4 linked regions of the Caenorhabditis elegans genome follow. The protein of the gene in region 2 purifies or fractionates together with the protein of the main gene of each other region. This does not show direct contact. Each region holds a gene or a part of one and is shown on either strand. Other genes may lie near its edges.

What was found.
Region 1: the proteins of rpn-8 (region 2) and pbs-3 fractionate together in Caenorhabditis elegans (co-fractionation; one large-scale study listed by BioGRID). This does not show direct contact.
Region 3: the proteins of rpn-8 (region 2) and fib-1 fractionate together in Caenorhabditis elegans (co-fractionation; one large-scale study listed by BioGRID). This does not show direct contact.
Region 4: the proteins of rpn-8 (region 2) and dim-1 fractionate together in Caenorhabditis elegans (co-fractionation; one large-scale study listed by BioGRID). This does not show direct contact.

The regions. Positions count from the first base shown.
Region 1 is NC_003280.10:4,951,629-4,958,942, reverse strand, and holds pbs-3 (Proteasome subunit beta type-3), read left to right. Parts: upstream 1-3,515; 5' UTR 3,516-3,555; coding exon 3,556-3,608; intron 3,609-3,659; coding exon 3,660-4,057; intron 4,058-4,106; coding exon 4,107-4,270; 3' UTR 4,271-4,463; downstream 4,464-7,314. Other genes in the region: ulp-2 (Ubiquitin-like protease 2), read left to right, coding at 1-93, 141-231, 282-306, 470-598, 649-940, 990-1,114, 1,272-1,337, 1,384-1,504 and 3 more; ndx-3 (Nudix hydrolase 3), read right to left, coding at 4,527-4,664, 4,709-5,203, 5,259-5,348; zyg-12 (Zygote defective protein 12), read right to left, coding at 6,019-6,103, 6,249-6,296, 6,551-6,660, 6,704-6,883, 6,934-7,314. UniProt on the Caenorhabditis elegans protein: Non-catalytic component of the proteasome, a multicatalytic proteinase complex which is characterized by its ability to cleave peptides with Arg, Phe, Tyr, Leu, and Glu adjacent to the leaving group at neutral or slightly basic pH.
Region 2 is NC_003279.8:4,171,775-4,179,959, forward strand, and holds rpn-8 (26S proteasome non-ATPase regulatory subunit 7), read left to right. Parts: upstream 1-3,544; 5' UTR 3,545-3,548; coding exon 3,549-3,668; intron 3,669-3,721; coding exon 3,722-3,866; intron 3,867-3,910; coding exon 3,911-3,996; intron 3,997-4,056; coding exon 4,057-4,113; intron 4,114-4,222; exon of another isoform or gene 4,223-4,290; intron 4,291-4,580; coding exon 4,581-4,709; intron 4,710-4,758; coding exon 4,759-5,157; intron 5,158-5,203; coding exon 5,204-5,356; 3' UTR 5,357-5,497; downstream 5,498-8,185. Other genes in the region: R12E2.11 (Orotate phosphoribosyltransferase), read right to left, coding at 1,074-1,176, 1,218-1,483, 1,535-1,849; mrps-6 (Small ribosomal subunit protein bS6m), read right to left, coding at 2,197-2,415, 2,584-2,662, 2,712-2,857, 2,921-2,965; R12E2.13 (MIR domain-containing protein), read right to left, coding at 5,644-5,817, 5,881-5,970, 6,020-6,147, 6,257-6,360, 6,537-6,661; suco-1 (SUN domain-containing protein), read left to right, coding at 7,087-7,115, 7,229-7,321, 7,374-7,453, 7,499-7,584, 7,637-8,185.
Region 3 is NC_003283.11:14,997,252-15,004,932, reverse strand, and holds fib-1 (rRNA 2'-O-methyltransferase fibrillarin), read left to right. Parts: upstream 1-2,823; 5' UTR 2,824-2,907; intron 2,908-2,963; 5' UTR 2,964-2,964; coding exon 2,965-3,004; intron 3,005-3,052; coding exon 3,053-3,236; intron 3,237-3,283; coding exon 3,284-3,834; intron 3,835-3,881; coding exon 3,882-4,165; 3' UTR 4,166-4,280; downstream 4,281-7,681. Other genes in the region: mut-15 (MUTator), read right to left, coding at 124-249, 304-574, 628-757, 802-907, 953-1,076, 1,125-1,600, 1,643-1,811, 1,859-1,931 and 3 more; rps-16 (Small ribosomal subunit protein uS9), read left to right, coding at 4,396-4,545, 4,590-4,874; T01C3.11 (uncharacterized protein), read right to left, coding at 4,942-5,068, 5,112-5,239, 5,287-5,388; irld-14 (Receptor L-domain domain-containing protein), read right to left, coding at 6,819-7,113, 7,157-7,215, 7,638-7,681. UniProt on the Caenorhabditis elegans protein: S-adenosyl-L-methionine-dependent methyltransferase that has the ability to methylate both RNAs and proteins. Involved in pre-rRNA processing.
Region 4 is NC_003284.9:8,052,421-8,061,122, reverse strand, and holds the start of dim-1 (Disorganized muscle protein 1), read left to right. Parts: upstream 1-2,902; 5' UTR 2,903-2,910; coding exon 2,911-2,955; intron 2,956-3,238; coding exon 3,239-3,296; intron 3,297-3,343; coding exon 3,344-3,421; intron 3,422-3,492; coding exon 3,493-3,546; intron 3,547-3,593; coding exon 3,594-4,129; intron 4,130-4,756; coding exon 4,757-4,931; intron 4,932-6,414; exon of another isoform or gene 6,415-6,550; intron 6,551-7,623; exon of another isoform or gene 7,624-7,969; intron 7,970-8,033; exon of another isoform or gene 8,034-8,217; intron 8,218-8,442; coding exon 8,443-8,573; intron 8,574-8,672; coding exon 8,673-8,702.

The sequences.
Region 1 (7,314 bases), on a different chromosome or scaffold from region 2:
TATCTAAAATTGTGTGTCACAACGGTTCTATTCAATATGCGAGAGTAGAAGACAATCCACATGGACGAAAACATACAGCAGTTGCCACAAACGGTTGGCTGAAAATATTTGAATCCAAGATTAATTTGATCTCATTTCAGGCTTCGACCACCGAGGAACCAGAGTATTGAATTCATTTGGCAAAGCACATGCATCTCTTGCTACTCAAGAAAAATCATATGCAAAGAAGAGGTAAGTTGAAAGAAAATCGTATCCAGAAATTGTAGTTCTTTTTTTTTCAGGAAACTCACGGAACAATCTCTCAAGGTAAGAAACAACTATTTTTCGACACCTAAAATACCCAAGCCACGGACACAGTGTTTATAACGCCCTTTATGTTCCACCACTATCTGAACTCACATTTAATTTATATTTTCTTTACTCGTTGTATTGTCATATTTTAAGTCTAAAACTCAGTGAGTTATTCTAGCTTATTTATCGAAATGATCGGAGTGTTTGGCTAGAAGGAAGTTGTGCGAAGAACTTGAAGATGCCAAAGATCAATTCGGAGCCAAATATGGGAGAATTCATGGGATGGCCAGATATGGATAACGCAATGGTATGTCAAAGGTCTCGGCGTCCTGTGACTGCAATTTGAATGAATTGTAGACCCACCCGACGTCAAATTTCGAGAATGAAGATGTGATGAAAAGTACAAAGCAACCGAACGATTTCGTCAGTTTTGAACAACTGCAAGCTCCTCCACCAGTTCTCCAACGACAAAATGGAGCTATTTATTCTACTCAATCCGTCGCTTTTACACACATTTCCGGAAATGATGGTGTTGAGGATCTCACTGAAAAAATAAGTCATTTGGGAGAAGAAGCGTACAACATTGATATGGCAAATGCTCTTCATGCCTTCAGTGACAACTGGCATTATGAAATTCATCCTAACACTGGTAGTTAGATGATCGGCACTGATTTCAAATCATTAAAATTGATTTTCAGTGCACAACGCCTCTTTCGAACAATTGCACATCGGAGATGGGAATTCGAGCATCGGAACCATCGGATTCAACCCATTAGAGCCCTATCCTCAAAGTTCATTCCCACAAAGCAATAATTGGCAACAGGTTTGGTTTGCTCTTGCTCACCGAAATCAACCTATACTAACAAAAATACTCCATTTTCCCCATTTTTCTTTCTGTTCCCTTGTTCATCTAAAAAATTTAAAACACTGTGCTCCGAGGCTCTTTTCTAGGGTATTTTCAAATATTATTAAATTTTCAGGCTCATGGTGACTTCACGTTTCCCCAAGTGTCGTTTCCAAATACACAACAGGGCTCATGTTTGCCGGTAGGCATCGTGGATAAACCTCTTTTGATTTAATTTTTTTTTTCAGAGTACTCCGACTGCAGCGCTGCCTCCAACTCGACCAGTTGTTGAGAAAATACCTCCAGATACGCAACTTTTCACGTTCCCACCTTCTGGCTCTTGCACAACGGGAATGGATCCTGTAGTGTGTAAGTTTAATATTACTCGGATTTTTGTTGAATTCAAACAGTTATGCCCCTTTAAAAAAATATTGTAGCTTCAAGACTTTTCTGGATTTTCATCAATTTTTTTCATTTTTTTCATTTTTGAAAAACACCAAGAAATAATAATATAAACTTTATTTAAAGGCGCATACCTATTTGCATTTAACAAAACTTTATTGTGGTGAGACCAAGCAAAGTACTGTCTGCGCAAAATAGGTTACTGTAACTGTTCCCTCATAGAATCCATGAATTTCAGTGCTCGTCAAGGATATCAAAACACTGGATCGCAAAGAATTCCTGAATGACAGCGTCATGGCATTTATGCTGAATTATATTGCATTTATGCTTTCGTCCGAGCTGTAAGTTTCATTAAACATCATTGGATTTTAAAAATTATAATTTAATTACAGAATGAAATCCGTGCATATGTGCAACACGTTCTTATTCGTCAATCTGACTCGCCTACTTCCACCATTGTGCTTCTCCAAAAGACGACCAATCGAACCAGAACACATAAAAATCGTGAAAGACAATTGCCCTCGAGTTCTCCGTTGGACACGAAAATTCGATGTTCTTGCCAAAGATTATATTATCATTCCGATCAACGAAGATCTTCACTGGCTCGTCATCGCTGTTATCAATCCATCGGGTGCAATTGTCGATATGTCGAATGAGGAAGCTTCCAGAGCTGCTCCGAAGTGTTATATTGTATTCTTCGATCCGTTGAGTGGTCTCGATCCAAGCAAGAAGAATCATATGTGTCACTGCATCAAGATTTATTTGGCTCAATTGTATGAAAACACTAAGGCTCCTGGAATGAAATTTGCGTCGAAGAATCCAACGATTTACGATGAGGAGAGAGTTGTCGTGACTCGTGCTGAAAACACTCCAATCCAAGACAACTTTTATGATTGTGGACTTTATGTATTGCATTTCATTGAAGGGCTCTTCTGTTATCCGAACCGTCCGGTCAATGTGAACGTAAGTAAATCTTCATGAAACATCACAATAAATAAACACTTTTAATTCAGGATTTTCCAAACTTTGACTGGTCAAAGTTCTTCCCGGAGGCCAATAAAATGTGTGACTTGATGCGAGACAAAGTTTACAATTTGATTCTTCAACAAGCGGATAAACCTGCGAGAAGCCGTCTCGCCAAGTTCGAAAGGGAGAACAAATGTGGATTGTCGCGTGAAGGAGCTCTTAGGAAAGCACGTCGTCATAGTGCAGTGAATGAACGTCGTACGAAACGGCACAGAGACTATTATGCACGTCACTATTCCTTGAGCCCGCCACACCGAAATGTGATGAACGATGATCCGACGTTCATGAATCCACGTGGATTGGCGGAAATGCCAATAACTCGACTTGTTCGTCGCCTCAGAATTCCGGAGGATAACTTCCCAATCGCTTACTAGGCATTTTGATCAAAAATTTGTCTCCCCTCTCAAAAATTGCCGGTATTTTCTTCTCTTAGTTAATTTATTTTTTAAAGATTTTATTATCCTCCCATTTTTACGCTCTCTCCTTATTTCTGCGTTCTCCGTCATAAAGTGACAATTGTTATTTTTTCTTTATAACTTGATCACTCAATTTAATATTTTCAGTTGATCTCCACTCTTTTTTCCTCCTTTTATTAAAATTTCAATATTCTGTTCCATCAATTTTCCTTTTGTACACCCATTTCACATCTCCGCAACGGTTTCTAAATTTTCTATTTGACTTCAGATTGTTTTCTTACCGTGTATGCGTTTTTCCGTCGATAAATTCGCGTTTTTAATTAATTTTTTTCATGTTCTGTCTGAAGAAAATGGTCGATTTCCATAGGTTCTCTTCAGCAACCCTGGCACGCTATTAGTCTCCGCCCACTTTTCCCTGCCGCAGTTTCCTATTTGTAAGCAAAATGTCCGCCAAACGATTGAAACGCTCATTTCACTTCATTGTTTCTCTGTTTTATTAAATTTCCAGACATTCTCACACTCTCTTTCAATTTCAGATATATCTCTTCGTCTTAAAGACCAGAAAAACACTCAAAAATGTCGATTATGAGCTACACTGGTGGAACCGTCGTCGCCATGGCTGGAGACGAGTAAGTTTTAAATTTCATGGTTGAAATATTATTTTATTCTTATCTTTTCAGATGTGTGTGCATTGCTTCGGATCTTCGTATTGGAGAGCAGATGACAACAATTGCAACTGATCAGAAGAAAGTGCATAAGGTGACAGACAAGGTCTACGTAGGACTTGCTGGATTCCAATCCGATGCTCGCACAGTCTTGGAGAAAATTATGTTCCGCAAGAATTTGTATGAGCTCCGTGAGAATCGCAACATCAAGCCACAAGTGTTGTCCGAGATGATCTCGAATCTGGCTTATCAGCACCGCTTTGGCAGTTATTTCACCGAGCCACTCGTTGCTGGTTTGGACGACACCAACAAGCCATATATCTGCTGCATGGACACTATCGGATGTGTATCTGCTCCACGCGATTTCGTTGCTGTCGGAACGGGACAAGAGTACTTGCTTGGAGTTTGTGAAAGTGAGTTTTTTGAATTTTGTTTAACGTTCAATTTAAATACTTTTTACAGACTTCTGGCGCGAGAACATGAAGCCGGATGAGCTCTTCGAGGCTACTGCTCAGTCGATTCTTTCTTGCTTGGAGCGTGATGCTGCATCAGGTTGGGGAGCAGTCGTGTACACAATCACTAAGGATAAGGTTAACGTCTCAACTATCAAGGCTCGTATGGATTGAGAAATTTTCCCCGTTCCCAACATTAAGTGTATACAATTTAATCTAATTTATTTGTTTCTCTTTTCCCTGTCTCATCCCCACACCCCAGACCGACCGGTTACCGTATTTTTCAACTTTTAAATTCTTTTGTGTTGGTTCTTCAATATCGAGAATACATTTATCACCCATTATGACTTGTAAATGTTTTATCTTTAGTCTCCCGAAGTTTATGGCAACAATTCTACGAACAAAAAAAATACTACACAGATCCTAAGAATTAGAAAAATTTCACAATTAAATCATGCTTATAGACATCTGGATTCAGCAGGGTCAATGCTTGATGCAACATTACACCAGAAAGCCCCCAAACTCGCTGGGTGGAATGAAGATACTCGTTCGGAGCATTGTGATGGACCTGAAAAACTTAACATTTTTTCGGAAATTATTTAAAAAATAAACCTTGAACTCCGTGGAATCGAACGAAGGCAGTGTGTACTTCATTCTCTTGCTTTGGAATTTAGTTAGTCCGGCTTTTTTGATAAGTTCATCAATTGGAATCGTGAAAACAGCTTGTACTTCATCAGAGTTGACCACCAGATTCTCGAGAACTCGCTCATCGGAAATGTATCCAACAATCGGAGTAACATTGAAATCCGCTTGCCGTCTTATCACACTTTTCAAATGACCCCAGATTTCCACACTTTCAGCGTTAACCCCGATTTCTTCAAACGTTTCACGGAGAGCAGTTTCAGTTGTAGTTTCTCCTGGATCCATTCGACCACCTGGAAAACATACTTCACCACGATGCGATCTGAGATGAATCGATCGTTTCGTTAGAAGCACAGAATCACGACCGTCAACAGTCACAAGCGGAATCAGAACAGACATTGCCGAATTCGCGTCGGAATCCGAGACTAGGCGAGGATGTTTCGATGCGGGAATAGATGAAAGATTCTGAAAATGAGCATTCTTGGTCTCTAGTTGGCTAAATGATTGCAGTATTAAATACCTTCAGAAATTGTTCTTTGGCATCCTTCCCGAAGAATCTTCTACTACAAACATTGATCAGACTCCTCTGAGCACTGAGTCCATATCTCATTTGGTTCTGAATCAAATACGAAATGTTTTATAATAAAAGTTGAGAACGTGAGGTACTAATAGGCAAGGCCTTTCTTAATATGCAAAACAAATGGAAAACATCTTTTGTAAAAACTTCTTCATCAAAAAATATAAAATAAATCTGTGAACACATAAAGGGTTCAAGGAGTCAGAAGAACAGAAGAAATTTATATGAATAGAATGTGTACAGTTTTTGGAAGGAAACGCCAAAAACTGTAGATTGTGGGCGGGAGAGGCGGGGGTTGCACAATTTACAGACACTTCTCGGTGTTCGAAAACAACGCGAGATTCTCAAAATTAATCAATTAAACTGAATGATTAGAAACTAGAATGACATAGAATTGAACTTTTTGGAGGAGCAAGGATTGGGTATCACAGCCTGGAGCTCACCGCTTTCCTGTCATAGATATCAGTCTGAAAGCAGGTTACAATAAATAAATAAGGAATTAAATGGGGGAACTGTCAAATGGTAGAAGAAAGAAAATTTGCGGATCCCGTGCCGTATACCCGAAAAGAAAACAGAAAAGTGGGGAGCACATTACTGTACACGAAAGAGAGAAAAAAGGACAAATGAGGGTAAAGCACACTATACACATGATGATGGTGGATGTTGACAGAAAATACAGAAGAACAAAGGGATGTAGAGATGATTAGGCATTTGGAGGAGCATTCAGTGCGCTGTTTATGTTTATGAACATCCAGGCGATGAAGACGAGGAATCCAAGGACGAGAATGCTGAAAAAAAAACAAAGGAATAAAAATAGATTAAAAATAAAATTGTGGTTAATGTCATAGTGGTAAAAGCTGTTATCAGTCACATAAGGGTGCAAGCGTAAAGCGTATTAGAAAGTTAACATTAAAACAAAGTGCTCCTACTCACCTAGCCATCGCCGTCGGCAATTCTCGACGGGTCTCGGAAGCAAGTGATCTAAAAATTAGTGGTGTGAGGGTGTTATTGAGGGCGCAATGGAAACAAAAAAACTGGGTGAGCACAAAGGACACTAAAACTCAGATTCGTGCAAACAAAAGACGTGCACATTTACCTTGTATGGAACATAGAGAGATAGTGGGAATATCACGAAAATCTGAAACCGTAGAAAAATAAAATGATAAGAAACCGCAAGGAGGGAGAGAAAATTAATATTTCTAGATTTCTCTTTTAAAAATAATGAAAACTATTACCTCCATGGAAGTGCTCCACTCATTTTCTGTGTATCCAACAGAGTCTGCGGCTCTTCGGATCCAGCGTGTGCTCTCATGCTCATCACTTCGTCGATAGATCGATTCAAAACCTGAAACAATGTTTTCTTTCCGATTTTCAATTTGTTGGGGCACCTGTTGATGCGAGGCACTCGTTAAAAGCCGATTCTCTTGTTCGAATCCTTGGGTTACTGTATTGAGCTCAATCTCCAATTTTTCAACTTTCTGGCGAAGCTTCTCATTTTCTTCTTTCATTTCTTTGAAAGCTTGAACAGAAGTCATACTGTCTTCACTCACTGGACGAGAATTGTATTCCTGAAAATACAAATATTTAATGAATGTGCCTATTTCCATGTATCACATACCAGTTCATCAATCACTGCTTTAGCTTTTTGCAGAGCAGTCGCGTTGACCTCCAATTCAGCAGTTCGTTTTTTGAGTATCTCATCAACTTGAGCCTGGTTAGTCTCCGCACGCATTTTAGCTTCTCTCATCTGTTGAGCTTCAACTTCTGCTTTCTCCAGCTGAATTTTTAAACCAACAACGTCGCCGCTAGCGTGTTCCTGGTTCTTGAGAAGATTCTCTTGAAGATCTTCAATCTGCTGCTGGAGCTCTTCAATTTGCTTGGTGGCGAATAGTTTCTCCTCTTCCAAAACGCCATTTTTACTTTTCAGCGTGATAAGCTCCCCTTTCAGCGGCTCCAACGATTCCAGCTCTTGAATACGCTCCGTTAGTCGTTTGTTCTC
Region 2 (8,185 bases):
GTTTCCAGAAAACAAGTGCAATCATTTCGCTGAGCGGACAAAATACAAAATTTCGCGCTCTCCCAAGAATGTAGAACAAATTGTAGAACAAAGGTACGGTAGCAGATAATGTGTGTATTTGCGTACTTTTTTTTTGCATACCGTACTTTTCTTTACTTAATCGCACATTATAACGGAAAACGCATGTTTAATTAAAAATAGATTTTTTAAAAATTGTTTATAAATATTCAATATACGGAAAATCTGATTATGCACTTCGTGGGGATCGAACCAGTGTCCTGCTGTGCCTCCCTTATTCCCCACTGCACCATCAACCACTGCTGTTTCGCAGTCTCCGTCTCCTCGACAACACACACTCGTCGCTTCTCGCTTGCCTCGAAATGTGTCGGTACACACGTTTGGGTAAGAGGAGAGGACTCGTTGGTATCTTCGGTTTTAACCCAGTTACTCAAGGTACGCTGGAGTTCTGACCTTTCGAAAGAAAGTGTCAAACGACTTTAATTTTTGGAACCGCTCTGCTGGGGTCATCCGGTAGAGCAAAATAATTGAATCCGATTTTAAAAGTTTATTAAGTTTTATGTGCATTAATGACTGACTTGCAATTCTTAGCGAGAACTGTTGAGCTATGATAGATGGTGCGAGTTTTATCCTTTGTGAACACTATTTGGAAAAGGTTTTATTCACTTGAAATCGTTTCAGGGAAAGAACATGAGAAGATTTGATTATGCTTTAGCTAAATTCCAAAAAAAAAAATTATTAAGACATGCGGAAGAAGAATTAAACCAGGATATATCACAACTTGGGAAGGAATCAACAAGCCAAAAAATAATGAAAATTATTCAGCAAACATGGTAGAAAGTGATGAGAAGAAAATATAAACACACAAAACATCACATAAAACGCTAAACAAAAATTTAATGAAACCTTTTTTCCATTTTTTAAATTGGTCCATCAATTTTCTTGTTTTATGTGATGCGATGCATGTGTGCTAACAAGGAAGTTTATTGGAATATTATGAAAATGAGAAAACAAGTTCACAAATTGGTAGAATATGGGGTGCAACAATGAAATTTTTAGAAAGGTTTAGCAAGATGAGCAATAATCTCGTGCTTTCGTTCCTCGGTCATCTCGTTTTTCGTGATCAGGCCGTCGAGGATCTTCTCCATTGTCAAAAAGCTGAAAAAATTTGATTTTTAATTAAAACGAAAAAGCCTCACCTGAGGAAGTTAAGATTATCTTCTGCGAGATTGGCAGTTGCTCCCTGTTGTCTATCCAAAACAGCTATGGCATCAGTGACCAACAGATTCTCATTGCGAATTGCTTCTGCTGTCTCACGAATTGATTCACCTGATGTGACGACATCTTCGACAAGAAGTACTGTACCACCAGGCTGATAGACTCCTTCGATAAGTTGCTTTGTTCCGTAGGCTTTGGCTTCTTTTCTTTTCATAAGCATCGGCACATTGAGAATATCAGATACAAGCTAAAAACATTGAGTCTCATTTTTTAGTGTGAATTATTTCTGAAAACTGACGGTAGCAAGTGGAAGGGCAGCATATGGTACTCCAACAACATAATCGAATTTGAGGTTTGAGGCGACAATTTTCTCACACATAGCTTGAGCAGCCATTCGGAGCACACGAGGAGAGCTCATTATTCTGCGAAGATCTATGTAGATTGGAGTCATCTGGCCAGATTTGAGGTAGAACTCCCCAGTGCGAAAACATTCCATTTGATAGAGATTCTCGAAAAAATCAGTTTCCTGGATTGGTGAAGCGGCCTGGACTTTCATGACGACTGGATCCTCGATTGAGTGATTTCCGTTGGCGGTAGCGGTGGCGGCGGTCATTCTGAATTTTTAACAATTTTCGAATATCAATGTGAAACAGGTTATTTTCTTTCAATAGAAAAGTGAACAAATATCACTTGGTCAGATGAACCAGGTACGTGATTTGAAGGAAGAAAAATAAATAAATAAAAATGTGATATTCATGAAACAAAACAAATCAATTCAACTTTAAGAAAACAAAAATCACTCTATAAATCCTAAAACTGTACAGAAGAATCGAGAAAACAGACAACGCAAAGTACGAAAAGATAGCCTCGTTTGATAACACTATCATAAGGAGGTGTGGCCAAAAGTGCATTGTCGGCGATCTTCGACCCGTAAATTTAAGTCGATTACGAATTTCATGTCTAGGGCCTTGGCGGAGCAATTGGGTAACTCTTCGGGATACTCTTCCACTCCTTTTCAGTACGTTTGTAGATCATCTGTCGCGTGAAATGACCCATCTTTTGATTTTCTCTCAAATCCTTGACTGCTTGACGTTCGGCAGGAGATTTGAGGATTTCTTCCAGATTGCATTCAACCTTTGGAGCCGGCAGTGTGTCCACTTGAATTAGATCGACTTGAACCTGAAAAAATATGGTTCAGATTTTTGTAATGACCAAAAAGTGACAAATTAATTTAGAAAAAGAACAAAACAACATTCGAAATGAATCTAAACAAAGAAAACTTTTAAACAATAAGACCCGATCATACATCAACATCAGATAATATATAATGAAATTTAACTAACTCACCGTGTCCAGGTCATGTGTCAAAATAGACTTTGTTTTCTGTCTAGCTTCCCGAGACATGTGCGCCTTGAAGAGGAAGAAACTGCAAAGAACAAACAATTTTTTTAAGATATATAGTTTTTAAATATTACTTTGAAGCGTAGACGGGCTCATTTGTCTGTTTGGCCAGCCGTTTATACGGTAAATCTCGATGACCCAGTGACTCAACCTTTTCAATTACTGCTCCGTGATCCAGCAAAGTGTTTCCAGCACGCGTTAAAGCTTTAACAAGATCTGCCTGAAATAAAGAATATTCTCATGATTATACACATTCTCACGCTTCATCGTGTTTTTTCTGTACCTTTGACAGAGATCGTGTGATCATGCTCACTTCATAAAACGGCATTGTTGTTCTCGCCCAGTATGAATGCTTTTTCTTCACTGAAAATATTTTCTATGCTACGAATTTGGAAATATGTCAATGAAAATCACGATAAGAAATCACAGCACAAGCTATTTTTCCAAAATAGGAAGTTGCCATTTTTCAACGACAGGCTGTGAACACAAGATTATTAAACAAAAATTTACTAGAACAATAAAATAAATGTTCAATTTTCAATTTTTCGCATTAGAAAGTTAATTTTCCGTCATTGCAATCGAAAAAAGTTAATTTTAAAGTAAAGAACCAGGAAAAATAAAGTGGAAATACGGGATGGGTCTCACCACGGCCAGTGTCGATTTACGGGGAAATTGCATGCGCCTTTAAACGATGATATTTCTTTTTTGAACGGGAAGCGGGAAATTGTCGTTTTTAAGCATTATTTATTTATTTCTTTTCATTTTTTCATTCAAATTATATTCTAGATACGTTTATGGCAGGTTTTTCCGCAATGATTAAGCGTTTCTCACTGTTATGTCGATTATTAACGTGTTAAACTGTTATGTGTTGATTTTTTATTGTGATAAATTTATTTTCGTTTTTTAGAAGAATGGCTCCAACTAACAAAGACGGAGATGTGGCGACTGTCAAAGCTGTAGATGTTCTCAAACAAAAGGCTGGAGCCCATCATTGCCTTGGAAATGTTCATGCAAACCTTCCCGTTAATAAGGTTAGCATACCTGAGCGAGAAAATTCGATTTTAAATAAACACAATTATTTAAGGTGACCGTCCATCCATTGGTTCTTCTGAGTGTTGTTGATCATTTCAATCGTGTCAGCAAAACTCAAAGCGTGAAGCGTGTTGTTGGAGTCCTTTTGGGGTCCATGAAAAAGGACAAAACTCTGGATATTGGAAACAGTTTTGCTGGTATTTTTAAAAATTTATTTGCTTACTTATAAAGTAATTTTCAGTTCCGTTTGATGAAGATGACAAGGATAAAAGTACATGGTTCCTCGACATGGACTATTTGGAGAGCATGTATGGAATGTTCTACAAGGTTGGTGAATTTTGAAATCTCGTTTTTATTTAATTTTAAACAAAAAAAATGAATTTACAGGTTGCCGCCAAGGAAAAAATCGTCGGATGGTATCATACGGGTCCAAAACTTCACAAGGTATATAAGAGGCAAAAAAGAGACGGGGACAACGCGCGTAGTGGTCTAGTGGCTAGCAGGCACACACTCTGCGCCTCCAGCCATTGGTTCGATTTCTCATTCCACTCGGGTTTGTGATGACTGCATACGGATCACTGGGCTCTGAATCTCTATGAACCGATAATATCCGTTCTGATACCCGTTTTTACGGTTTCATGATCGATGGAGCGCGAACTTGTTTAAATTTGAAATTATACTGTGCAAATAACAACAAAGCAAAAAAAAAAAAACTTAAAACAAATCAAATCAAAACTTTTGAAAAAAATCGAAAAAAATGCAGTGGATACCTGACAAAAAAAAAAGAAAAAACCGTGTCACAGTGTTGCGAAATTACGCTCCGCCTTACTTTCTGTGCCACCCTGATTTTTGCAAAATTACGGTGTTCAACTTCAACAGTTTAATTAATTATTTATTTATTAATTTTACAGAACGATATTGCTATCAACGAGCAATTGAAACGATTCTGCCCGAACCCGGTTCTTGTAATTATCGATGCTGAGCCAAAGAACATCGGATTGCCAACAGAGGCTTACATCGAAGTTCAGGAAGTTCACGATGTACGTTTCAAAATACTGTTTAATTTTTTTTCAATATATTGTTTTGTAGGATGGAACTCCACCAATCAAAACCTTCGAGCATGTGCCTTCAGATATCGGAGCCGAAGAAGCTGAGGAAGTTGGAGTCGAGCATCTTTTGAGAGATATCAAGGACCAAACTGCTGGAACTCTTTCACAGCGTATCACCGATCAACTTATGGGCTTGAGAGGACTGCAATCACAGCTTGAATCCATTGAGAAGTATCTTCATGATATTGTGCGCGGAACTCTTCCAGTCAACCATCATGTCATTTACTATGTTCAAGAAGTTCTCAATCTCCTGCCTGACGTCACTCATCCAGACTACATTGTTTCACAGAATGTGCAAACTAATGATCAGCTCATGTGTGTGTATATGGGATCTCTTGTACGATCGGTGGTCGCTTTGCACAACTTAATTGATAACAAGGTGATTTGCAAAGATTTTAAAATTTATTAAAAGCTATGATTTTTAGATCTCTCTCCAGAAGGCTGAAAAGGAGCAGGAAACTGGCGAAGCTGAGAAAAAGAAGGATGAAAAGGATAAGAAAGACAAAAAGGATGAAAAGAAGGATGAGAAAAAGGAAAAGGACAGTAAATCATCAACCCCTAATACTCCAAAGAAGTGATAAACAAACTCAGAACATTGATTGTATCCTCATGTCCACTTCTCCACCAATCTCTTTTTCTTTTACCCTATCGCATCATATACATTTAATTTATTCGGTCTTTTATTTTTCTGTGCATCAATGTAGTATTTTATCCCCGGTATTTAGATCAGTTGCCAATAATTTTTCAGAAGACAAAATCTAATAACTTTATTAGAAAAAATAACAAAGATAACATCCCCGTAAAGCAATGGTAAATATCACGAAGAAAGGCATGGCTTATTAAATTAGGAGTATCCAATGTGGATTTAAAGATCTTTTTGCTGATGCTTGATGTAAATGCCTTCGGCAACTTTCCATGCACTTCCACCAGTGATCGAGTCGGTGCCGACGACCTCCCGTTGTCCATGAATGGGGCGTCCGAATTGTTGTCCCGAGAGTGAGAGGTATGAACCAGTGACAGCGTGGCGAAGTTTGAATTGCTAAAGTGAACAATATAGGGTATTCAAAACGTATAGATAATATCGAAAAGGAATGTAACAAACCTCGGATTCCAACCACTCATCTCCGTTGCAAATCACAGTCCAATCATCTCCCGTGTCACTTTCTGCTTCGCTGCCAAAAGCGGAGACCTCCTTTAAAAAATCAAATTATTCATTTGTTTTCTCGAATTGCCAAACAAACCTGATGTTGTTTGGAGAGAGGTGCAGTGAAATGATGGGAATGCAGGAACGTGCCCGTGGTGAGGTGCTTCAGACGGATCTTGTCTCCGCATTTGATTGCATCTCCACGATTGCATTTTGCGTTCAAAGCTGAAGTAAGAGAATGTTCGGTTTTCTTTGTTCTTTTTTTTCAAAAAGCATTAATATACACAAATTATTATAGTTTAAGTTACTAGGCGTTAACTTCCAAATAACTAACCTGGGAAAATCTGCCAATGAGAATTGATGTCGTCCGAGTTTTTTACAGCAGTCACAGATTGTTGGCCGGACCCGCTTCCGTATTTTACGTCATGCGAATGTAACCTGAAACCTTTTTGTTTCAAACAAAATCTACTTTTTCGAAGGGAAAATGCTCATTTTCTCAGGAGATATTCTTTAATATTTACTGTTGGTGGCAACTATTTATTTAGTGTCATTAACTTTACCGAGTTTCTAATATTAGTGCAAACAATTTTAATAAAGTAAGCTGGCTCACGTACCTAGAGCCATCATTAGCATTTATAAACTTTAAAACGCTGTAGCACGTCACAAAGTCTTCATCGGCGTATGCAAATGAGGCGAAGAATAGAAGTGGAAAACTGAGTAGTAGTGGCAATTTCGGCATTATTTTGGTTCCCTGTAATAATATTCTGTTTTATTATTCCAAACTTTCTAGAATTTCATAGAGAATGTAGCAGAAAAGATTATAAAAAGAGAAGCTCCTGCAAAAATTAAATCAACGTCGCTTTGCACGAGATGTGCGTCAACCAACGTACACCATCGACAATGACGTCAGTAGCCGCTCTTGACGTACTTTGTTCCCAACACCTTGTGGTTCCGCAGTCAATTTTTTAGCTGTTTGGCGGCCAATTGACGCGACACCGCTTATAAAATTTATATCACGAGACCTTCTAATCTATGTTTGTTTGAAATCATAAGGGTCTTATCACTTTCCATTTTAAATTTGTTCTCTTTTGAAAACTTAAACCTTCTACTTACAGCTCAACAGAAAACACGACGCATGGGTGAGCGAGAAAGGTGGAACAGGTGATGAAGCTCAAGCGGTTATTGATATTTGCGTAAGTTTTTTATTGTATTCATATAAAATAATCATTTAAAAGTCGTTTTGATGAACTGAAGATGTTTTCACTAAGAATTATCCCAAAAATGAATTTAATTGCTAATATTTCAGCGTACTACTAGTACTACCCAACATAAATGCTAATCAAGAAGTGTCATTTGTAAAACACTGGAAAGACATTTTACTGACTGATGGAGAACATAGGTAATCTTTTATTTTTAAAACACAAATTCTTACAAATTTTTTGAAATTTCAGTCCAATTTGCGCATTATCTATCGATGGTTGCGCCAGGTCAGCCCCGTACAATGTTTCGAAAAAGATTATGAAGGCTTCGGGTAATAATATTTATATTTTATTCCATAAATAAAATATAAATTCAGTAAATGCATCGGAAAAGGATTCGATACCCGAGAAAAGCATAGATAACTTTGATGAATGGACGAAAAAGCGAAGAGATGCGGTTGCGGTGAGTTTTTATTTTATTCTGAGAGAATTATGTTTTAAATTCGAGTTTTTAGAACCAAAACGGACAGAATCAAAAAACAATTGAGCCAACTCAAGTTGCCCGGCACGATGAAGTTTCAATTCCGCTGCCCCCAATCACTCGTCCACCGAGAAACTTTGCCAGTCGGGAATGTGGCGCTAAAATTATCGCTGCAAATCCTGAAGCTGAGAATGCTAAAGCTGTTGTAAATGAGAAAGACGTCGATGATTATATGAGAAATCCATGCCAATCTGCCAAAGAAAAATTTATAGTTATTGAGTTATGCGAAGCAATTCAGATTAAAAAGATAGCTATTGGAAACTTTGAACTGTTCGCTTCAAGACCCAAAACAATTCAAGTTTTCATTTCTGAGAGATACCCTCCTCTCGCAAATTGGATCTCTGTTGGACCATTTCATCTGCAGGATCATCATAAGAATTTGCAAACTTTTGATGTTCCAAACACAAATGTCTATGCAAAATATGTCAGGATCAACCTAGAAGATCATTATGGAAAAGAACATTACTGCATTGTTTCGGTTGTTAATGTGATGGGGAGTACTTTGGCTGACGAATATGACAAA
Region 3 (7,681 bases), on a different chromosome or scaffold from region 2:
CAAAATACAAAAAGTTTAAAACCAGTAAAATTAAGAATCGTGTGAATGGGACGGAAAGAAACAAATAAATCAGCACAAAGATGGGGAAAATAATTTTTGAGAAGTTGGAAGAAAAATACATATTTAAACAGGAACAGCTGATGTTGCAGTTGCAACAGCTGCAGTTGTTCTCGATTGTCGATCCGCCAGGTATTTTTGGTAAAGATCGCGGAACCACGTGGGCGCTCGTGTTTTGTTGCATTCGAGAAACTGAAAAATTATCATGATTGTTTGAATCTTTCGATTTTGAGAAAGAAAAAGAACCTTTAAATATTCGCGAACGAGGCGAAAGTCCTTATTCTGGTCGATAATCATGTATAACTTCAGTTTCACTCCAATAATCGAAGCGAGGTTCTGCAACTCCGTCTCCATAATTGTTTGAAAATATAGTGGATGCGGAGAATCAAACATAACGATAGTGTCGACGGCGCCTCGGTGAACAGCGCGAATTGATCTCCAGTCGATCACAAGCACATCGAGATTACCCGTGCGAAACTCAAAGTTTCGTTTTTCCACATCTTCTTCGGAGTCGCATCTGCAAAAAAATAAATATGGAATAAAAAGGACACTATTTAGAATTGAACATACGTTGTAATTTTATGAATATTATAACGAAGGTTCACAGCTAAAGTTTGCATTTTCAGCCTCAGGTACATCATCACACGAATACATGTTTCCGTCGTTCGTGTTATGACGAGAATGCGTTCACGGCGGGGTTCTGAGAAAAATTTTATACCGAGTTTATAGTTCATATCAACTCACTGTCTCTCCGTCCAGATCTACCGTTATCTGCCGCTCTTGCATCTCTTTCTTTTTTGATCAACATGGTTAGTATCTTCAGTTTTTGTGTTGATTCGGTCAAATATTGCTGAAAGAATGAAAGATTAATTCAAAATTTAGACTCAGTAGTTACCGAGACAATTGCGGGACTTATATTATTATTCTCAAGTGTGCTCTCCTGGGTCGGAAGTAGACTAGCAATTTCACTGATAGGACGTACCAACTTGCATTCGATATTGGAAAATACATCACGAACTCTGGAAACATTCTAAGAATAGCACAAATTTTGCGAATATTGCTCGAACCTCGGATTATCAGCTTCAATGAGCACAGGTCTTTCCATTTTACCTTTGCAAAACTCGAGTGTTTCGGTTAACGAGGCAACTGAACTTGAGAAATGATACGCGAAGATGAATCGTGTCAAAGAACTTTCAAAAGTTTGAGCGAGACGTCCGAGTGAGTCGGCAAACTCACTGTTCCCCTTCAACTTCTCGGCATTATTAATGATAACAAAACGTAGAACAGATATAAAATCATCCAACTGTTCCATTTCATTCTTCAGCTTATCGATATACTCTTTGATTTTTTTGAATGAACCAATGAAAACTCTAGATCTATTCGATGTCATGAATTCATTTGACAGCTCAGTTGTGTCTAGATTTGTTATATGTGTATTTGGACGAGTGGAATTAGAACTTCTTCTCTTGTTGAGTAGGCCTCTCATTACAGATTTCGAGCGTTTACCGTCTGTAGTTATAATAATGCATCGCGGAAACGGTTTCTGAAATTAGAATCAGTTATCACTTCCACTAGCTTGGCTAACCCTATGCGAACGAAATCTGTCGATGGAGTGCAAGATGGGTTGTCCGTAGTAAAACTCGTGATTTGGGCCTGAATGAATGCAAAACAAATGTTCGCCGTTGTGAAAACGCCCGAGACTGCAATATAAAGCATCTTGCAATGTTCTCCATGGACTGTAGCCTCGGCGGCCACTGAAAATATGAATGTATTTTCAGAATTAACGACGGGATCGAATGACCTGATTGAAAACTTCATCAGCTTCCTCGTTATTTGCAGCGACCCGGTTTCAGACGATCTCACATACGCTACTTCTTCAAAGTATTAATTTCGATGGTATCTTTAGTATGATATTTCAAACCTTCTCTTGAAGCTGCCGGTCCCCACTCTGGGTTATGCGCTCGAGCCTGGAAAACATGAAATAATTGCAGTCATTCATTAATCTCAACTTCTTTGACCGAAAAACATGATCTCCTTGCATTGCCCAATCCATCAAGATCAAAAGCATTCACGACACCTGAAATGAATAAAATAAATATCCCATTTAGCTCATCAAAAATTGTCACCCATGCTACATATGCCGATTCCATTGGAGTTATCCATTTCTTTGATACTTATCTAAATACTTCCATTCAAATCCTGTTATTTAAACCCGTGCGCGATATCTGAACAACTCCGGAGTGTTTTTCAATGCTCGACTCGCTCCAGCAATCGATAAACAGAATGGGAATCGGTTTCGCTGCGTTCAAAACATCGGCCGGAATATTCTGGTTTCTGAGACAACGAAACGTGAAACATCTATCAAGTTTTCAACCTTTTTTCGAAGCCATGATTAGTATCATAATTTAAAACCTGTTTTTTTGCTTGACGTTTTTGCATATTTCAATCAAAACCACCTTTCATATCGCTTTGATTTTCAATTTTAGAACAAAGCCCCGCCTACAATTGCCTGATTTCGTTCTACGCGAGCTGTTTGCTTGCGAATCGATAAAGTGTCGGTTGTGTGGCAAGTGCGCTCCACTGTGCAGGTCTCGCAGCGATTGCCATTTTCCACCGTAGTTCCCTCCAATGTCTTCTCCATTTTCGTAATTTTTTGGTTCGCCCAAATTTTTTTTCGTCATTTTTTGCCTGAAATGTTCGTTTCTTCTCAATTTTTCTTGGATTTTAAGAGTAGATTTGAGAATAGTGGATGATTCTAGTCGATTCAGATCGACTGGAGCGTGATTTAAATCCATGACTCTAAGTGAAATGGGATAATTCTCAATCTTACTCGGCTCTCCCACGGCTGAGGTATGTATTTTTCGTAATTTCGCTTTTCGTTTTTGTTAAATAATCGATTTTTGTAGTATGGGACGTCCAGAGTTCAATCGTGGCGGCGGCGGCGGAGGTAAACTGAATTTCAGGATTTTTTCGTATTATAAATATTATTTTTCAGGTTTCCGAGGTGGACGCGGTGGAGACCGTGGTGGTAGCAGAGGTGGATTTGGAGGCGGTGGTCGTGGAGGATATGGCGGAGGTGATCGTGGCAGTTTCGGTGGAGGTGATCGCGGAGGCTTCAGAGGAGGACGCGGAGGTGGAGACCGCGGTGGTTTCCGTGGAGGAAGAGGCGGTGGTGATCGGTTTGTGTTTTATAATTCTGTTCGCCATCAAAACGATAATTTTTCAGAGGTGGTTTTGGTGGCCGTGGATCACCAAGAGGAGGATTCGGAGGACGTGGATCTCCAAGAGGCGGAAGAGGATCACCACGTGGTGGACGCGGAGGAGCCGGTGGAATGCGAGGAGGAAAGACTGTCGTTGTCGAACCACATCGTCTCGGTGGAGTATTCATCGTGAAAGGAAAGGAAGATGCTCTTGCCACAAAGAACATGGTTGTGGGAGAGTCCGTGTACGGAGAGAAGAGAGTGTCCGTCGATGACGGAGCTGGCTCAATCGAGTACCGTGTGTGGAATCCATTCCGTTCTAAGCTCGCTGCTTCCATCATGGGAGGATTGGAGAACACTCACATCAAGCCAGGAACCAAACTTCTCTATCTCGGAGCTGCTTCTGGAACTACTGTTTCCCATTGTTCTGACGTCGTTGGACCAGAAGGAATCGTTTATGCTGTTGAGTTCTCTCACAGATCTGGACGTGACCTTTTGGGAGTTGCCAAGAAGAGACCAAACGTTGTCCCAATTGTCGAAGATGCCAGACATCCACACAAGTACCGCATGCTTGTCGGTAAGTATTAAATTTAAGCATTTTTGTGTTTAATATTTATATTACAGGAATGGTCGATGTCATCTTTTCTGATGTTGCTCAGCCAGATCAAGCTCGTATTGTTGCTCTCAATGCCCAAAACTTCCTTCGCAACGGTGGACATGCCGTCATCTCTATCAAAGCTAATTGCATTGACAGTACTGCTGAGCCCGAGGCTGTATTTGCTGGTGAAGTCAACAAGCTGAAGGAGGAGAAGTTCAAGCCACTTGAGCAGGTAACCCTGGAGCCGTATGAGAGAGACCACGCTGTCGTGGTTGCTGTCTACCGCCCAGTCAAGGGAAAGAAGGTCTGATCTCCAAAATCATCGTTACATTTTTTTGTTTTGTTATTTTGTTACATGTATACCTCCATCTTGATCGTTAACACTTGTTTTACTTGTTTCCCAATAAAATGTTGTTGATGCTGTCATGTTAGGGATGTTTTACTTTTATCTTTACTTGGTTCTCAACCTTGCCGATATTTCTATTCTACTTTAATTGTAACCTTTATTTTGTTCTTTGTTTAATATATTATTACAGGGTAATGACGTCTACCGTGCAATCGGTTCAGACCTTCGGGCGCAAGAAGACTGCCACCGCTGTCGCTCACTGCAAAAAGGGACAAGGACTTATCAAGGTCAACGGTCGCCCACTTGAGTTCTTGGAGCCACAGATCCTGCGCATCAAGCTTCAGGTTTTTGTTCCGACATTAAATTCCAACTAACTTGTATTTTTCAGGAGCCACTTCTCCTCGTCGGAAAGGAACGCTTCCAGGATGTCGACATCAGAATCCGTGTTAGCGGTGGAGGACACGTTGCCCAGATCTACGCTGTCCGTCAAGCCCTTGCCAAGGCTCTCGTTGCCTACTACCACAAGTACGTTGACGAGCAGAGCAAGAGAGAATTGAAGAACATCTTCGCCGCTTACGACAAGTCCCTTTTGGTTGCTGACCCAAGACGCCGTGAGTCCAAGAAGTTCGGTGGACCAGGAGCCCGCGCTCGCTACCAGAAGTCTTACCGTTAAATTCTTTTTGTTGCACAATAAAATTGTTATTGAAAAAAAAGATTTATGAGATCGAATTTAAAAAGATTTAGAAAGTGAAGCTGAGCAAAAGCATATCAAGGACAAAAATGAATAGTATTCCGGCGATGAGGTCCAATCTTGAGTGTTTAGTTTTTCTCGTGTAGGCAACTTCGAATTGTTGTATTGGTTTAGAGCTTAAAATTCAATCTTATTCTGGTATGGTATAGAAACACTCACCAAATGCACTCAGTTTGAACTTCGCTGATTCCCGTTCCGTTTATTGTACACGTTGATCTCTTCTGCCGAGCACGACTACATCGAAAATCACAACATGAGTTGAACATTTCACATGACGAATAGTCTGCCTGAAATATTGGCAGAATTTTTTCAGGATGAGCTAAACATTTCAAACCTTTGATATGCATTCCTGCGTGTAGACTTTTAAGGATGCTTCAGTGTTTGATACTAAACATGGAATCAGGCAGGCTGGAATAATGATGGCAGTTATTCGCATTATAAAATATCTGAAATTAAGATATGCTCCTTCTGCTAGACTGGATATAAATTGAGAAAGTAAATCTACAGAGAGATTGCAGTGGAGTCAATGTTTGAGCAGAGTTCAGCATACAACAATCGCTAATTTGACAGTTTTCTCTGCTTCTTTCAATTGTGAACTAGTATTGAGCTAGATTGAAAAACCAATTAATCAATTTTTCAGGAACTGCAATCAAACACAACACTGATATGCGGAAAAAGATTGAATACTTTGTTCACAGTTTGTTTTGAACATACGAAAACAGACAAATGACATTGACCCAGAAGAAATCAGAAATTTAGAGAAAATGAGTGGGTAACTGTTAACGAAAATTCGAACGAAAAATTTGAGAGAAAGGCAAAGCTGATGTGGGTGTGTTTATCAGTTTTGCTAGTTATAAGACTAAAGTATTTTTATTATTTATTATCTCGATAGGAATAGTTGTCAAATAATAAAAACAATATATATCATTTTATTGATAAACGGAAATGAATTTTGACCTCGATGATTAACGATAAACTGAAAACAAACAAAAAGTAATCATGTGAACTTTAAAGTTTTTCAACGTTTGAATGGAAAGTAGTAGAAGAATGGAGGTGCATGACCTTCCCCTTCGAAAATGGACGTCTTCAAATGCGATGGGGTCAGTTTTAGACTGTCTCTTCCTTCTCCTTCTATTTCAAGGTTACACAATGGACAGCAGATGCTTCGTCTTTTTTCTATGCCCACTGCACCTGCTTTTACTATTTATTGATAGAACATATATATTTTTTATTTATTTATAAATACTCAACAAAACAGAACGGTAGTGTATAGAAAACAAATCAAACTGTTTAAATTAACAATAATAAATTTTTCAGAATATAAATTTTCAGAGGAAACGTGGAAGATCCGAAAAGAATTATTATCCAGACGCAAAATTTTGCTAAAAAAATACGGTGTGCGGTCCTGACACGGAAATTTCGTCAACTGCAAAAGGGTGTGTGCCTTTAAGGAGTACTGTAATTCTCAACGTTTCGGTTCTGTAAGACATTTATGTTTCCTTAAAATTTTGAAATTGTTCAATTGAAACAAACGGAAATCGCATAAAATGTCATGGATTAAAAACCAAAATATAAAATTTGAAATTTTGACAGTACAGTGATCCTTAAAGGCGCACGCAATTTTGCACTTGATAAATATTTTTGTGTCGAAACCAGGTATCGTACTTCTCGATTTGGAAACATATTGTTCGTAGTGAAAAAGGGTTGCGCAGGTTTAGGTGATACATAAATTGCGATTTGAAATACTTGCGCTCTGAAAAAGTTCTGAAAAAAACGAAATTTTCAAATTCATAGTTGCTATCTGTAAGTTACTTTTTTTAACTGAAGAAAACACTTTAAAAATAATTTATTTTATTTCTGTGCAGTTCACTTCATTTTCGGATCTTCCATCTTACTTCCAGCAGTTGGTGGCAACTTTTCGGACGCTTCATTTGATCTTTTCGATGTATCCGAATCATCATTGTCATTCCAGTGCTTGTACATGAAGTATCCTTGTCCAATGATTGCCAGAAAAGCGATGACGCAAGCAATGATAAGTCCGATGACAATTGCATTCATGCCAGATGATTCTTCAGTCTTGAATTGAAAGAAGCCCGCCGAGCATTCTTTACGTGAGTGTGAAGCGCGGGACTTTGATTCCAGTATTAACAGGTCACGACTTCTGAAATAAATTTCAAATAATCATTCAATTAGTTTCAACTTACGAGGTGACTTCCGTGTAAGCTGCAGATGGGAAATTGTCATTCTCAAACTGCACATCTTCCTGGAATAAATTATTGTTAGGAGTATCTATGCAAGCCTACGGAATTTTTCGTTTTTTTCTTTTTTACTTTTACTTTTTCTTGTGTTATTTGTATAATACAATTTCAAAAATCGAGTTAAATAACTTCGCTTCAAGACCGGGTGCTTATTCTTGGAGAAAACCTCGAAGTCGGCTTTGTGTCGATTTACGAAGCTTGCGTACTCCCCGAGGAGAATGATTGAATGTTTTTGCATTGACAAAAGAGAAGAGTTGAAATATAAGCAACTAGTAAAACATAGCAAAAACCTATTCCTCGTGGATTACAGAAACCCCGTAAATCGACACATGGCGATTCTGACACGGTCATTCTTGAATCTTCATGTGTCTTTAAAAATAGCTGCAACCCAAGATGTACTCTATAAAATATCAATAAAAATCCTCACGTCTTTTCCATTCAAAGCCAGCAACTTCGGCATTAGGATTCTCT
Region 4 (8,702 bases), on a different chromosome or scaffold from region 2:
AAAAATAATAACTAAACTATATAATTTAAATTCATATTTTGTGTAAACCGGAAAAAGGAAAGGTTTTATCACACTGAAAATGGCAATAATTGCTCCACACGATACGTGGAGGGTAATAAATGTTAAAGATTTATCAGTGGCGGTTTCGTATGCAATGTGTAACTTTTGGAATGAAAGTCATAAATTTCAAGATTCAAGAGAGAGCTGGTATAAAATTTTTTAATACAACAGGAACAATCCGTATCATTTGTGTTTGTTGATGTTATTAAACAAAGTTCCGCATTATTATGGCAAAAATTGATAAAAAATGTTTGTGCACATCAACATTAAAAAAGGTTACTAATGTTTCCACATGAAGAGTCTCTGGAAAAATGAACAAGTTGTAATTTCACCGTAAAAGTAGTTCTGGAAGAACATGTTTGAAGAAAACCAAAAATTGACAATACCAAATAACATTCTATGTATGCAGGGTTGTCTGAAATAATTATTTTATATTAATTTCAAAGGAACACTATATGATAATATCTGGAATAGGGGAAGCAATTAACATAGTCATAATAAAACATAGTTAAACAATTCCTACAAATTTAATAGTCTAATTATGTTTAAAATACTCATATTCAAACATTACAGTGATTTGAGCATTCTGCAGTGCTATAATTTTGTTTTCAATAAGCTGCAAAAATGCAGTAATTGCAACATTTGATTGTCAACAAAAAACTATTCAAAACTTTCAAATAAGTGTTACTATGATATTTAATCATTTTTGCACCATAAAAATGTTTTTTTAAGCAATTTACCCTATGGCGCTACTCCACTATTAAAATCAGTTGGTGTTTCTGGATGAATGTATTTATAACTTTTATCGGCTGCTTTTTCCGATTATGTCTTCGGCTGCACTCAGTTTGTTATTACGAGCCATCTGTGCTCAAGGTCGATAAGGTCAACTTTCTCGAAAATACGTTTCCCCTGTCCTCATTGACATCTTTCCCCCTCTCGTGTCTCCTACTTTTCACCCTTTCACCAAATATCGATCAAGTCGATTTTCAACGGGTTCTCCAGGCAGGTGGCTAGTACGTACAGTTTAGAATTGAATAGTGATGTCGTTTCGTCTCGTAGTGTTGAACTCTGGCGTTGTCTAATTCTCTTCTCCGCAACGCATCTCTAGCTTGCACGGCGACGGTCACCCACGATGCTGGGTCGCAAAAGACCTCTGGTCACCCTTCCCGTTACCGCCGATGGTGATCTAATAGTTATCGAAAAAATGAAAGTATTGGATTTTTAGGTATTGTTGCTAGCACAACTGTATTTGTCGATATTGTTGTTTTTTAATTCTCAATTGGGAGCAACAAAATTTTTTACAAAGTATACTCATGTTTCAATATCGGTTCTTGAGTGATTGGTGATAATTAAATCTCATTTAGAAATTCTGATTGAATTTTTTTCCGGTATGTGATTTTTTATTAATATCCTGAAAAATCGGCGAACTTATGTTCAAATAATATAGTTTTTAGTTTAATGTCCCGGCATACTTGTTTGTTAGTTTACGTTTACCATCCAACCTTTAAGCACCTTTTCTAAGGTTTTTCTTACCCGGCGATGGTCACCCACGATGCCGGTCACCAAAGATGCCAGGTAGCAAAGGATCCCTAGTCACCCTTCCCGTTACCGTCGACGGTAATCTCATAGTTATCGAAAAATGAAAGTATTGGATGTTTTGCATGCTGGCTACCCAACTGTACTTGTCGATATATTCTAAAAGTTGTTTTCTCATTGTAATTTGAATGCAACCGATTTTATTACGACCGATTCCAATCCTTTAAATTTTTTTGAAAACTTTTAATGTCTTGTTTTATTAGAATTAGTATTTTTATTTCATTTCAAAATAAAAGCTGTTGAACATTTTTCAACATCACTATCTAATTTTCAAATTACAAGGACCGGCAAGTAAGTTAAATTTTTTTCAAATTTTGGTTAATAGCTAAGTAGCATTAAAAGTTTTAAATCGAAAATGTTTTCAGTTGTTGATAATGTTTGATTTATCTGAAAACTTTACTTTAATGCACAGAAGTAGTGTTCCCATTTGCGAATTCAAATACTCCAAGTAGTTCGAATGTTATAGCTTATTTGTTTATCAGTTTATGTTTAATCCCAATTCATCAAACACATTTTTGTGCGTTTTTTTTTACACGGCGACGGTCGCCCACGATGTCGGTCATCCTCGATGCCGGTCACCCACAATTCCAGGTTGCAAAAGACCCCTAGTCACCCTTCCCGTTACCGCCGACAATGATCTCATAGTTATCGAAAAGAAAGAAAATATCGGATTTTAGGCCTAACACCACATGTGTACACGCCGATATCATTTAGTTTTTTTGTGGTCAGTTTTATCACGAAGGTGCTTCAAAAATTGATCAATTCATAATTATGATAACCTTCAATTTATGACTTTTATGAAATTAGTTGGTTTTGATTACAGAGATGAGAAAATGGTTTTTCAATGAAAGTTCTCACTTAACAATATACATTCTAAAACTATGCCAATTGTTCAAACCAAAACAAAATTGCAAGTCAGTTAAACTTGACTTTAATTATTGACAACAATTAGGTAGATTTCAAAAAGCCAAATCAAATTATTGTTTCATTATTTCAATGGTTAAAAAAACTCGCCTTAAAAGTTTTGTTTTGTCTGAAAACCACAAAGTCATCTGTTCCCGTTTACCTACAATACTTACTTACTTACTAAACTTTTCATTCACTTTTTGTTTATTTAACTTTTTGTGTATCAGTTTTTGTTTACTTTCCGTCCATCAAGCTTTTTTTTCCTCACTCATCCTTTATTTCAATTCTCGTCCTTTTTTCTATAATTAACAACACAAATCTTAATTTTTTCAGTTTAACTCCATAAGAATGGCATCGTTAGCACCATTCTTTAAAATTTCCGACTCCATCTTGGTAAGTGTCAAAACTTTTGTAAAATTTCAACGTTTCGATGCAATATTTGCTATTCTAATAACTTGGTGTTTTCACTTAACACAAGTCTTTACACTTTTAATAAGAACCGATAATCACAGTGAGATGTGCAGTGTTACCACTTATTGAGTAGTATCCTTGTGCAAACACCCCCACGACATATTGCGTACATTCCCGATTCAGAAATTTCTGGCTTATAAGGAAGCAATAACTCTAATTAATTTTAAAAAAAAAGAATAAAACGCTAAATATTATATATACTCAGGCTGATGAAAGTTTCGACGATCTGGAAATCAATAATCATTTTAAATGCACTAGCAAAGGTAAGTAAAGTGTTTTTGTCAATTATCTTATAATTTTTCAACTTCAGATCTAAATGAATACCCAAGAACTTCAACCCCATTGCCTGGAGAGATAACATCAATTTACAGCTTACCCAGATCATATAGTAGGTGTTAATGGATACGATTTGTATTTTTTTAAAGACAAAATTCAAATATGATAAAATTAACTTTTCAGATAATCAAAACCTTTGTACAAGAAGTAAACCAACAACATTCATTTCACAAAATCGTATGTTCGATTACGTTAAAAAATGTTTCTATTATTCATTTTTTCAGAACAAAAAGGAATGACGGAAAAACCGAAGCATTCTGAATATTTTTTAAGACTGATGAAAACACGCCAAGAAATGCAGAAAAAATTAACTGCGAAAAATGGTTCAAACAAAAGTGTGCAGCAATATTTGAGAAAGTTACCGCCCAGTACGAGCAAAGAAGTGACGATAATACCAGTGAAAATGAAACCTGATGACAATTCAGTTTATATTTCTAAAGAATTAAGTGACAGGACTGACACAAAACTACCGAAAGTTTCAACAAAAGAGGTAGAAAAATTTGGAGAGCAGTCAGATGATGAAGAGAGGCATGAGAGGTCTCATATCGCATCGGATTTTAATCAGAAGACCCCGCAATCAACGCATGCAACGAGTAACCATAGGAAGAGAATTTTCATAGGGAGGACAGGTGCTAAGCAACAGCATGTTAGTAAAAAAGCCACAGAGAGTGAATTACCTTATAATATCGACGTGTCAACCTCCAACACGACAAATGCAACCGAGGCTCTCAAACTGTTAAAAAGGCCACTTCTGTTACCAGTGAGTTTTAAAACTTACAAATTTAACTAACAGTTAGTTTAGTGACATAAAAATTAATAAAAGTTAGTGAAAAAGTAAAACATGACCGACTTTCTATGAATTTCAAACATAATATTTCCAACTAAAACCAAGAAGAACCAATAAACTGTAAAATAAAATAAAATGTAAAGTTTTTACTAAACATAACGATTTAACAAAAAAATAAAAATAAAACTTCAGTTGTTATATGTTTTCAAGATAATTTTTGAAAGAGTTCTTATTGTTGGAAAATTATTAGTAACTTTCCTTATAGAGAACATTTCATATTTAAAAACCAATAAAACATTCAAATCGTCACTGAAACATAAATTGGCAAAAAAGTAGGCAATTTCTATTTGAATTAACACCCATCAGCCAGTTTTTTTTTCAAATTTTTTCACCGTGTTTTACACAGCTTTGCATGAAATTTTTAAAGCTAAAATGTATAATCTTGTATTTTCTCAACAGTTTCTCTTAAACAGATCATGTTTCATATCAAAGTTTTACACAGCAAAAACTGCAAAAAATGAAAACATGAAAACGTACAAAAGTGTTCAAAACTATTCCAAAATATTAATTTCCCAAAAAATAATGGCTTGTAATTTTCAGAGTAAGGATCCACGATCGTCAAAAATGCCCCGTTTAGATCTCAATCAACATCAATTCCGCTGCAAACAGTACATAGTCCATTCACAATTTACATGTACTCAAATTGAGAAAACATTTAAGTGCAGAGTTGGAACATCGACAGAGAGTGAAGACCTTGATGATTACTATTTTGATGGTGAGTACTTATTTGTTCTTGTGTCAGTTATCAATAAGCGAAGAAATAAACAAAAACAGTATTGGAAATTAAATCGAATGGTCTGCACACTGTGTCAACCACAGCGCCTCCATGATCTTAGAAACAAACAAATGAGCAAGAGATTACCGTGCGCTCTTTTCCCGACAAACATAGAAATATAGTACTTGATAGAAAAGAAATAGGGAAAAGAGGAGGGCAAAAAGCAACAAGTTGTGAAGAATAGTCAACAATATTGGTCGGGAGGGAGGTTTCTGCTTGTACGTATATATTTATTGAAGTGACGCCGACTGACGACGCAGGATTTGCTTTCATACAATTTTTTTTGGGGGGAAACACGATAAAAATGTCCCGTCGTTTTTATGCATCAATGCATCATTCTTCGGAAGTTACTATTATACATACAATCACTTTCTTAGGGTTTTTTTCTTTATTTTCCAGTGAATGCTCAAATTGTATATTTTCTAGTATGATTTTAATAGAAGAAAGTTTTCATTGAAAATAAGACAAATAGATAGGTCAAATAATATATAATAAATTGAGTGGTATAGCATTCTATTTTTTCGAATCAAAAACTCAAATCTTAAACGAATAATTTTTTCCATCCAAACTGAGCTACGATTTTGACACTTTCTGAATATTTTCAAAAATTTACAAGCCTAGTCGTATATTTTGAAATTAAATAATTAAACCTTGAGAGGTTGGCAATTTTAACATTTCCGAATTTTGACATTGCCGAACATCTCTGCAATGAATGTTTGGGGGTTCTATGTATTCTTGTCGTAACTATTTGTTTTCTTTGCACTCGTTCGCTTTGACCAGACCACTTTTCTTTTATGCTATGAACTCATTACGCAGAGATCTCGCACAACAATTTGTTACTTGCACTGTTCATCTTGTCCTTTTTACTCTTTTTTCCTTCCGTTTACTTTTTCATATTGCACACAATGAGACTGTGCTGATGGCTGCTTCAAAATTTCTGGGACTGTGCTTCACATTCTTGTGTACTCTTTCGCTCACCACCAGTTTTTTGCACTGTTCTCTAGAGTGAAAAAGGAAAATTGAACAGTTACATTGTGTTCGGTTTCAGTCAATTTTTTTGTTGTACAATTAGCGTCGCTAGAAAAAGTGTTTTTTTTGCTACTCTACTGTTCTTGTCTCATGCTATTTTGTAGAGTTTAAATTTATTTTTAAAAAATGAATGTCAATTAAAATGTGAGAACTGGTAGAATCAAATATATACGTTTCATTTCTCGCGTAAAAAATTAAGAAAGTAGTCTTCTAACCTTCCATCTAGGCTATAAATCTCATTTATCTCTAGTTCCACTTGGCCACCAACTCCTCCGCAAGCAAATGATGATGATAGGGACCATTCGTAAAAGCCGCAGAAGCCCGAACAGTCAACTCGAACAGTTGTGGGGTCTTAGCGTGTGTGTTAGCAGGGAAATTTCTTTTTCCAAAGCGTATGAGGAGGTCCCGCTCGGTCGGTTAAATGAGCAAATATCTTCGCGACATATGCCAACGCGATTCGTATTACGTTTATCTGCTCGTCTAACACGAAGGCGAAATTGATGAAACGTGGGTGGGAAATGGAAACTAAGGAGAACTTCGGGGGGACGTGTGAAGCCGATAATGATGAGATCATACACTATTTGTCGTCTGCATATTGATCTATGTAGGACATGTACTCAACGATTTTATCTATTTCTCGGAACTTTTTTTTTTTAATTTTGAAGTGTTTTTGCGAAATTGTTTGTCTCTGCCGATTATTTTGAGAACAAATCGGCGTAGTTGTAAGAAAGATATAAATCAACCTGGTAAGAATTCTACCAATAACTAAAACTATTTAACTTCATCATGTACATTTCATTTGCCAAACAAAATTCTTTAAGCTATTTGCTCAATTTTCTTTTTTCATATCCCGCTTTTTATGATATCATCAATGTTCATTCAAAAAAAATCACACAACCACTCAAAAATACAAAAGGCTGTCTCAAGTATACACATACTTCTGCAGCTTTTCCTTTCCTCTAGGAGTATTTTTTGTGATATGATCACATTGAGTTTAGATCGGATTCGAGAATGATATTGAATGAATCGTGGCGCCAGGTAACTGAAATTTTATTTGTCAATGAGAAAGCGAGAGTTCCTTTTCTTCCACTATCCACCTACTCTATGGGGGTGCGAGCCTTTGTTTGTCAACTTGAGCTATTAAAAAAAGATACTGTTGAGATAAGTGCCGATTTCGATTTTCAATGCACTGCGGCTCTATCATATCTGCCTCCCCTACTAAACCCGCGCTCATTTTTTGTTTGAAAAATCAAAATCGCACGTTTCTTCATTCCGTCATAGTCATAGATTTCTGATAGGTTCCACGAGATGCGTTGGATCAGCCATGCAAGTCGTTGAGATTGCATGAGTTTCAGTTTCACGGGATGAACATATGTTCCCCGATCATGATGTGTGTGTTTTACATTTTTAGATGATTTATTGGGAAATTAGTTTTGTGCAATAGGTTTTCTGTCGTTTTTAGCTGTTATGGTTTATGTATATGTATATTCTTATTGGGTGGTATTTGAGAAGCTTGCCAAATTCATAAATCTCTTATCAAATCTATTAACATCTATCCAATGTACCCCGAACTAACTAGTTACTTTTTATTCTTTCTTCTGTGGGACCTTTTTCTGTGAGATATTTGTGTTCTTTCACTATCAGTGGTCGGCTGGCTAGCTGTCCTCCCACGCAGTAAACTTTACGGATCGATAGGTGATCAGGCAGCAGAAGCAACAGTGGTCCTGCCGAAACTTTCGAGAAAGACACAGAGCCAAGGCATGTTGATAATCATTGATAGTGATAGGTTCGACTCTGTCTCTCTGTTTTCTCTGGTCCATCAATCTGAGCCGTCATATCTACTTGCTCTGGACTCCCGCGGGGGCGCGCTCCTGCTCCGAGACCTTCTTTCTCTCCTTTATCCTCTCGCCTCTAGTACACAGCACGGTAGGAAGAGAGAAGCGGGAGGGAGGGCGCCGATTTTTGTGTAACGCTCCGAAGCGCGCCTCTTGTCACACTGTGATTAGAGTTGGCAATGCAGCCTCGGCAACGGCGGCGGAGTCCCGCTAGTACAGAGACTTGGGATGCTCCCGTGGATGTGCCTGCCCTCTCCGACTCTCACCGCATACCCACTTGGCATCCTTGTCCATCTCCTATCACTTAACATTTTGTTCTTGGCCTTGACCAGTCCAACTTTTTTTACGCAGGGGAACTCTGTGTCTATTTTAAGACATATATTTATGTGCTCGTGTGTTTTTACAATTCCTCTTTCTAAGACTTCTTGTGTTACTGTGTTACAATGCTTATAACAAAAACTAGACGGAACGAAAACAATAAAATGAAACACTGGAAGAAATGTTCGCCATTCCTTTCTCTCTTTGCTTTTTCGATTTTTGTTTTTCTTTGTGCTCAGTCGATCACAATACAGTTTTCCCATTTTCAGCCATGCCAGACGGAAAGGCCCCACACTTCCCACAACAACCAGTGGCTCGCCAAAACGACGATGGCTCATTGGAGCTCGAATGTTTCGTTGATGCCAACCCAACCCCACAAGTGAAGTGGTATTACGATAACGTGAGTGACGCTAGCATCCTACAATATTAAGATATTTTGCTTATGAAACATTTGTTTGCTCACTGACTCAACATTATCCAATTTGATTCATTTTTACAGAAGGAGGTCGAAAACTCTGGACGCTTCAGT